Canis lupus familiaris: one gene and its partner. The protein of the gene in region 2 interacts with the protein of the main gene of each other region in a biochemical or structural test. Links are inferred from orthologs where the notes say so. Each region holds a gene or a part of one and is shown on either strand. Other genes may lie near its edges.

Region 1 (4,242 bases), on a different chromosome or scaffold from region 2:
GCCTCCGTGGAATGGGAGTGTGAGTACCCAGTACCAGAAGCCTGTCCAGGTGAGGAGTGAAGGCTTGGCGGGCCTGGAGTCCCAGGTCAGAGGTTGCCCCCTGGGTGGTGTGGGGAAGGGGAGGAGGGGGCTTGGCGGGGAGGAGCGAGTGCAGACCCGAATCTGGGGTGCCCACGTGGTGCCCAGGTGAGGTCCTACAAACAAACGCCGGTGTGGGCCACGTGGAGGCAACCAGGCAGCGACACGACCGCTGAGGAGCGGGCAGGGAGGGTGTTCAGAGGCGCTAATCCGGATCAAGTGCAGCAGTTATGACGACCCACGGAGGTGTGGACTCAAAAATGAAGATCGTGGGGCAGCCCGGGTGGCTCAGCGGTTTAGCGCCACCTTCGGCCCAGGGCCTGATCCTGGGGACCCGGGATCGAGTCCCACGTCGGGCTCCCTGCATGGAACCTGCTTCTCTCTCTGCCTGTGTCTCTGCCTCTCTCTCTCTCTCTCTCTCTCTCTCTGTCTCTCATGAGTAAATAAATAAAATCTTAAAACAAAAAACAAAACAAAAATGAAGATCGTGGGCGACGTGGGCAAACGCAGGGTCCTCGTCCCGGCCAAAGAGTCAACCGGAGCAGAGGCAACCGCCAGCTAGTGTAGACAGCGGGATCTTGGGTTCGGCACGGGGAGGAGGGCGGCCGGGGCCAGGGAACCAGCGGGGCCGGACCGTCCTCGTGACGCTGGCTCCGCGGCTCAAACCTCTCGGACTCGAGCTCGCCCCGGGTCCCGCAGCGCGCGTCCGCGCGGACTGCCGGAGTTTCGGTTGCGTGAGTCTGGGATGGGGCAGTCCCCACGGCCCGCCTTCGCAGCGGGCTCCCGGGCGCGGCGGCGGAGGGGCCCCCCCGGGGAGCGCGGCCCCGGGAGCCCACCTCGCCGAGGGGCCAGAGCGCGGGGCCCGCAGCGCGCCGCCTCCCGTTGCCGGGCAGAGCCGGGCCGCGCGCGCTTCCATTGGCCGCAGGTGGGCCGCGCCCCGCCCGACAGGTAGACCGCCCCGCGCCGAGCCATTGGGTCGCGGCCGCGGGGACCCCCGGGGATTGGCCCAGGTGGCGGCCCCGCCTCGCCCTCATTGGCCGCAGGTGCCACCGCCCCCGCCCCGGGACCGCCCGTCCCGCCGATTGGCCGCCCGCCGGGCCCCGGGTCGGCCATATTCGGACCCTCCGCACCCCCCGCCCCCGGGCCTGGCGCCGGGAGTCCGTGCGCTCCCGTCGCGCGCCCCCGCGGGCCGAGCCCCCCGCCCGCCCGCCGTCCAGGTTCCGCGGAGGTGGCCGGCCCCGCGCCCTGGGGCCCCGCGCCGCGCGCGCCCTTCCGCGTTCCGCCGCCGGCCCCATCCTGGCGCCCCGGCCGGCCGCCGGGTGCCCATGGCCCGCGCGCTGACGGCTGACGGCTGACGGCTGACCGCGGCCGGCCGAGCGCGCCATGCCCAGCAGGACCGGCCCCAAGATGCACGGGAGCGGCTGCCGCGTCCGCCTGAAGGCGCACCACAGCGGGTGAGCGCGCCCGCCGTCGGGGCCCGAGCGGCCGCCGCTGCGCGCGGGAGGGAGGGGGCGCCCCGGGCGGGCGGGGTCGCCGGTGGGGGCCGCGCCGGGCCCTCGCTCCCCGGGTCCGTGCGGCGCTGGCGCGGCGCTGCCACTGCCTCTGCGAAGGTGGCCGGACGTGAAGGCCACGGACCTGTGAGCACTGAAGTTTTTGTCACATGAAAACCGCCGGCCGAGCTGTAAAAATCCGGGTTTCCTAGGCGTTTCCCAGTTTACCCGGCCGGAGGGCTCGGCGGCACGATCCCGGGGAAGGTGAGGGGCACCGGGCAGCCCGCGGGCGCGCCCACTGGGGCGGGGCGGGGCGGGGCGGGGGCCCCCTAAGTCCCTAGGCGCCGCTCTGTTGGAGCCGATCTTTCGGACTCTGATCCGCTCCGCGCCCGCGCGGCGCCCTGGACTCGATGTGCCCGCGGTAAAATGGGGCGAGCGGGCACCGCTCAGGGGTCAGAGGCCGGGCGCGCCGGGCCACGCCCGGGAGCGCGCACCCTCCGCCGCCGCGGGGCAGCCCTGCTGGTGGTGCGGGGGGTGGCGCGGCGCCCGCGGCCCGGCCGGGATCCGGCCTCAGCCCCCAGCGCTCGGGGGCAGCGGAAACCCTGCTGCTGCGGCTGCTTGACGCCCGTGGTCTCCCCAGAGGTGCGCCTCCTGCTGCATCCTCCAGATTGAGGAGGAGCCTGGGGCTCTTGACTCGGTGAGGGCACCTCTTTTGGGGTCTCAGGTCACACCTGTCCTGTGCCTTCTGCCATGGTCATCTGGGTCACCTGGCAGAGTGGGTGACAGGGCTCTGGGGAGGAGTGATTTCTGGGGGGACCGTGGCCAGCCCACCTGAAGAGGTCTGCCTGTGGACTCATGCAGGGCCAGAACAGGTTGGCTCTCTGGCTGGTGAACCCGGTGGAAAGCCTGTCCCCATATCTGACAGTCCTCTTCCCAGCCAGGAACTGTGGGATTGAGCAATAAGCCACTTTGTGAAAAATCAGAGTTGGTCCTCAGGGTGAGGAAGTCCACACCCCAGCCGCTTGGCCCGGGGTGGGTGGAGATGGGACCCCCCACCCCCCAGCCCCCCAGCCTGCCCCCAGGCTGGGCTCAAGGAAGCAGTGTCAGGCACTGGGTGGAGGGGTGGGGGCAGGCAAAGTGGACTGGAGCCTGGGAGTTCTGGAGGGAGCCTGCTGCCCCCAGCCCTGCCCCCTACTTTGGCCCCTGGAGAGTGCTTTGGTTACTGCCAGTAATGTGACCTGTTGGGTTTGGTTCCTGGGCTGATGAGGCGTCCACTCATCCTGTTCTCTTCCTCATCCCCTCCCTCTTCCTCCTCCTCCTCCCACACTCTTCCTTTCTCCCTTGGTGGTAGGTAGTACCTGGACTGTACTGAGGTTCCTGCCTTACCCCTGCTCCCCACTCCCTCCTGCTGCCCCTGCCCTGGTCCCTCCCCCAAGGGGCTCACTTATCCAGGCCTCCAGGGTCCTGGTACTCCGGATGGACTATGCTGCCGCCTGGCTGCTGGGAGGTTGTTTTGGACAGCGGGGCCACAACAGAAGGTCAGACCCATTGAAGATGTCATTGTTAAAAATAGGGAGCCCCCAAGTTGGCCTTTGGAGGATGTGCCGTCACCAGGGTCTGAGTGGGGTCCAAGCAGGATGCAGCAGTACCGTGTTTTGAGGGTATTTCCAGGTAATGAATGTACCATGGAGGTGGAGACCCTGCTTTGCCAGATTGAGTCTCAGCCCTTGTCTAACTAAGCTCACAGAAACAACCACATGGGGGTCTTCCTCTTTCCAGCTCCAGTCTGGTCTGCTGTTCACACCATCAGCTTTGGGGGAAGGTCTGATGAAGCCAGTGGGCTTGAACTGGACGCACTGTCCACCCCACCTGTACCCCTCCTATGTGACCTTTTGAGTGGAATTTGAACTTGATGCCTGAGCAAGTGCTTGCCCGGCTTCCACAGTCCATGCTTTCTGATACCCCCACTTCTCCATCTAGGCACATCTAGGCACAGGATAGATCTTTCCTTTCTGTGCTGGGGCATCCATGAGACTGGTCAGTAGTTCTGTTGAGAGGCCTGTAATATTTTGTTTGCGAGAATTTTCATTTATGTAACCAATAACTCAATCAGTAGTATTTAATTTGATTTAAATGTGCTCCTTGGTGAAGCATGTCCATCCTCTTTGCCCTAGGGACATCCTGATCACCAGCCTAGATGCAGCAATGACCTTCGAGGAGCTCTGTGATGAAGTGCGAGAGATGTGCAGTCTCCGTCAGGGGCACCCGCTCACCCTTAAGTGGGTGGACAATGAAGGTAGGCCTGGGTCATGTGTCTGTCAGACTATAAATCTCTAAATCTTCTGTGTGGATGAAGTGAGATCAGCCCCCTTAAAATGATGGCATTAAGCTAGTTAACACCTGTCTTTGGGGTCAGGATGCTGGAAATCACTTATTGGAGTGGTTACTGGAAAGGAAGCTGTGTTTTCGGGGGTCGGGAGGGAGGAGAGTCCCCTGCAGGGCAGATGGGGAAGGGGCGGCAGAGGTCTCCCGGTCCCCCTGGGACCAGCTCTGGCCATCTTTCCCTGTTCTTCCGTTCTGTCCTGGGCTTTCCAGTGGCTGATTTGGAAGGATAAGTCTTTCTTATTTTCATCTTGTCAGGGAAAGGGGGAGGGTAAGTTGCTCGGGCGCCAGA
Region 2 (3,560 bases):
CTTACTACAGCCTGGCATCAGCCTGGCTCCTCTGTTACAGACCATGAACCCAAACCAACATGGGTGTATTAGGTGAAGCTCATCATGCACGGTAAGGTTCCCTCTCACGTTGTGCGTTCTGTGGGTTTGGACACATGTGCAATGACATGTGTCCACCAGCTCAGTATCGCAGAGTCCTTCCCTGACTGAAAATCCCTCTGTGCTCTGCCTTTCATCTCCTCTGCCCCTAAACTCTGACAACCACTAAACTTTTTATCTCTTTGATGTTTTTGTATCCATAGTTTTGCAAAGCCTGCATTTTTAAACTAAGCACCTCATAGTACTTTAGTCTCAAAGGAGTGAGTTCTTTGCTAGAACATAAAATTCAGCAAGTGGCAGATGCAGTGTGGACCTTGTGACCAGGTGCTAGAGTTGAGCTCCCATGACCAACCTCACCCTGAGCAGGAGGGACGCATCGTTGGGGATAGACTCAGGTCCTCACTGATTAGAGCTCAGGGTCATCTGGGGACAGACTTAGGTCCCTCATGGGTTAGAGTCAGGGTCATCTGGGGACAGACTCAGGTCCCTCATGGGTTAGAGCTCAGGATCATCTGGGGATAGACTCAGCTCCCCATTGCCTAGAGTCAGGATCATCTGGGATAGACTCAGGTCCCTCATGGGTGAGAGTCAGATCATCTGGGATAGACACAGGTCCCCGTGGATTAGAGCTCAGGATCATCTGGGGATAGATTCAGGTCCCTCATGGTTAGTGCTCAGGATCATCTGGGGATAGACTCAGGTCCCTCCCTGACTCCTAACAGCAGTTCTGTGCGTGTTGTGCCAGAGGAACAAGAAGTGTCCCCTTCTTCAGGAGACACTTGGCCACCAAGAAGTCTGAAGGGTACTTCTGCAGAGATGAGGGCCTTCGGTGGGCCTCATGTCACCTGAGGTAGCTCCAGCCTCGGCTGGGCTGTGGTTGGAGTGACAGGTGCCTTGCACCCGGCTCCCACAGATGGGTGGCATTTATGGCTGTCCCCAAATGCCCACAGTCCTGCCTCAAACCCCCAGGCCTGAGACCCAGCCATCACTGTTGCTTCAATGAATGAATCTTCTGTCTTTGACAATCCTTAGACTCAGGTCCTTCATGGGTTAGAGTCAGGATCATCTGGGGATAGACTCAGGTCCCCATGGATTAGACTCAGGGTCATCTGGGGATAGACTTAGCTCCCCATGGATTAGAGCTCAGGGTCATCTGGAGATAGATTCAGGTCCCTCATTGTTAGTGTTCAGGGTCATCTGGGGATAGACTCAGGTCCCCATAGATTAGAGTTCAGGATCACCTGGGGATAGACTCAGGTCCCTCATGGTTAGAGCTCAGGGTCATCTGAGGATAGACTCAGGTCCCCATAGATTAGAGCTCAGGGTCATCTGGGGATAGATTCAGGTCCCTCATCGTTAGTGTTCAGGGTCATCTGGGGATAGACTCAGGCCCCCTTGTGGATAGAGACAGGGTCATGGGGATAGACTTAGCTCCCCAGTGGATGAGGCAGTGGCCAGGCAGCCCCTGACCCCTGCAGTCTTGATTCTCCCTGCTGCCCGGTGCTCACAGGGGGATGGGAGCACTTACAATGTTCTTGAAGAAATGCACTACGGGGTTTTCGTCTTGGGGCCGGCCATGCTGGGACTTCTGGGGCAGGGAGCCATAGTGGGCAGTTCTCGCTGCGTGATGTCCATCCTGGAAGAGAGGGCGCGATGACCTTAGGCCTCCTATCCTCTGCTCTGGCCTCCCTGGGGAAGCTGCCTGTCTTCTGTCCTGGGGATCTGGATTCTTTTGGATCAGGATTTATGCTGGGACATGGCGGACATGACTCAGGACATTCCTGGGGCAGCACATCTGGGGGTGAAGCTGCGATGCATTGGAAGCATCTCCACCCTGGAGCCAGCATCGGGCTGCTTCCAAGTCCCGTAAGCAACAGCACAGGGGGAGAGAAGGGAATTCAAGGGTGAGCCCACCTAAGCCGGGCGCAGGGTCAGTAAGCAGTGAGAGAAAGCTGTTATTTTCCTGAGCTTCTGCTGTGAATGAAGGAAAATACTTAGGAATTACATGTAAAACATAATAGCAAAAAAAAGTCCAAAAAAACCTGCCATGAGCTTTGGAGGGTTCAACACGTGAGCTAGCCTCTGTGTCTCAAAATCAGCATCCCAGGTCACAGTGGCAGTGGTGTCTGCCCAGTTGGGATGACCACTCCCACATCGTGAGCAGGGGGGAAGGACGGGGGAGGGGTTTGGGGCCTGGCGCCTCCCAGCTGTGGAGATGACATGGAACGTGGTGGGCAAGAGTGAGGTTCACAGAGCAGCGGCCTCCATGGCCTCCACCCCCGTGGGCCAACTGTCACCCACACAGGAGTCTGACCACTGGGGACAGGCACCCCGAGCAGCCTCCATGGAGATGGGGTCCACTCCGAAGAGCCTTCCAAGCAAAGGCACCAGGGCCTGGTGAGAGCTTGTGGAGCTGACCCTGGGGCTTTCCTCCTGCTCGCCCAGTGACACAAGCGGGCAGGAATGTGAGTCAAGGTTCCCGAAGGTCAGAGGGCCCTTTCTGTTAGAGCGGATCAGTCACCTGCACTGACGGCCCTCCCTGGTTCCTGTCCACTAGCAGCTCTGTGCGTGTTGTGCCAGAGGAAGCCCTTCTTCAGGAGACACTTGGCCACCAAGAAGTCTGAAGGGTGCTTCTGCAGAGGTGAGCGCCTTCGGTGGGCCTCACGTCACCTGAGATAGCTCCAGCCTCGGCTGGACTGTGGTTGGAGTGACAGGTGTCTTGCACCCAGTGGGTGGCATTTATGGCTGTCCCCAAATGCCCACGGTCCTGCCTCAAACCCCCAGGCCCGAGACCCAGCCATCACTGTTGCTTTGATGAACGAATTTTCTGTCTTTGACACACATCAGTGTATCCGTTCCCCTCTCTGCGACCGACATTAAAACCAAAGCTGGGTGAGCTCCTTCTCTGAGTCCAGACACATGTGCAAACGTGGGTGACCTCTTCCTTCTTCCCTCTGGCCACTGACCACCGGCCACTGGCCACCAGCCACCAACCACCAACCACTGCTGCTTCTGTTTCACCAAATGGATGCCATTGCTCCAGCTGACAGCCCACGGAGAACCCACTGCCCACTCAGGTCTATACTACTTGCCACATGTTTGCCCTGAGTGGCGTGGCCCCTCCCTGTGTTGGGGATGAGGTCACCTGTGCCCTGCCAGCCTCGGTGCAACTCGGCTCCTGCTTCCGTGGGACTTTCTGTGCCCAGCTCACCCTTCAAGTGCTGCTGCCTGGACCGGTGGGTGGTGGGAGGGAGCCAGGGGTTCCGTTACTGGGGAACCCCCGAGCCTCCTTGTCACTCACTCACTGCCGATGCTGCAGGGACCTGCATAATCTGCTTTTTCCTCCACATTCTTGTCTTTCACTGAATTTCCAACTGTCGGGCTTCACTGGCCAATCCCCTTCAATCAGCGCACCAGCCTTGTATGCTTTCCTCCGGTGAAGGAGTGAGCATAAGGATTAAGGACTAAGAAGCAAAATAGAT

The links.
Region 1: of the proteins of MBP (region 2) and PRKCZ, one has a biochemical effect on the other in vitro, tested with the Homo sapiens proteins (2 studies listed by BioGRID). The link is inferred for Canis lupus familiaris from reciprocal best matches to the Homo sapiens genes MBP and PRKCZ.

The regions. Positions count from the first base shown.
Region 1 is NC_049226.1:57,486,971-57,491,212, forward strand, and holds the start of PRKCZ (protein kinase C zeta type), read left to right. Parts: upstream 1-1,396; 5' UTR 1,397-1,461; coding exon 1,462-1,532; intron 1,533-1,693; exon of another isoform or gene 1,694-1,832; intron 1,833-3,029; exon of another isoform or gene 3,030-3,044; coding exon of another isoform or gene 3,045-3,106; intron 3,107-3,742; coding exon 3,743-3,864; intron 3,865-4,242. UniProt on the Homo sapiens protein: Calcium- and diacylglycerol-independent serine/threonine-protein kinase that functions in phosphatidylinositol 3-kinase (PI3K) pathway and mitogen-activated protein (MAP) kinase cascade, and is involved in NF-kappa-B activation, mitogenic signaling, cell proliferation, cell polarity, inflammatory response and maintenance of long-term potentiation (LTP).
Region 2 is NC_049222.1:2,911,235-2,914,794, reverse strand, and holds part of MBP (myelin basic protein), read right to left. Parts: intron 1,715-3,560; coding exon 1,607-1,714; intron 1-1,606. UniProt on the Homo sapiens protein: The classic group of MBP isoforms (isoform 4-isoform 14) are with PLP the most abundant protein components of the myelin membrane in the CNS. They have a role in both its formation and stabilization.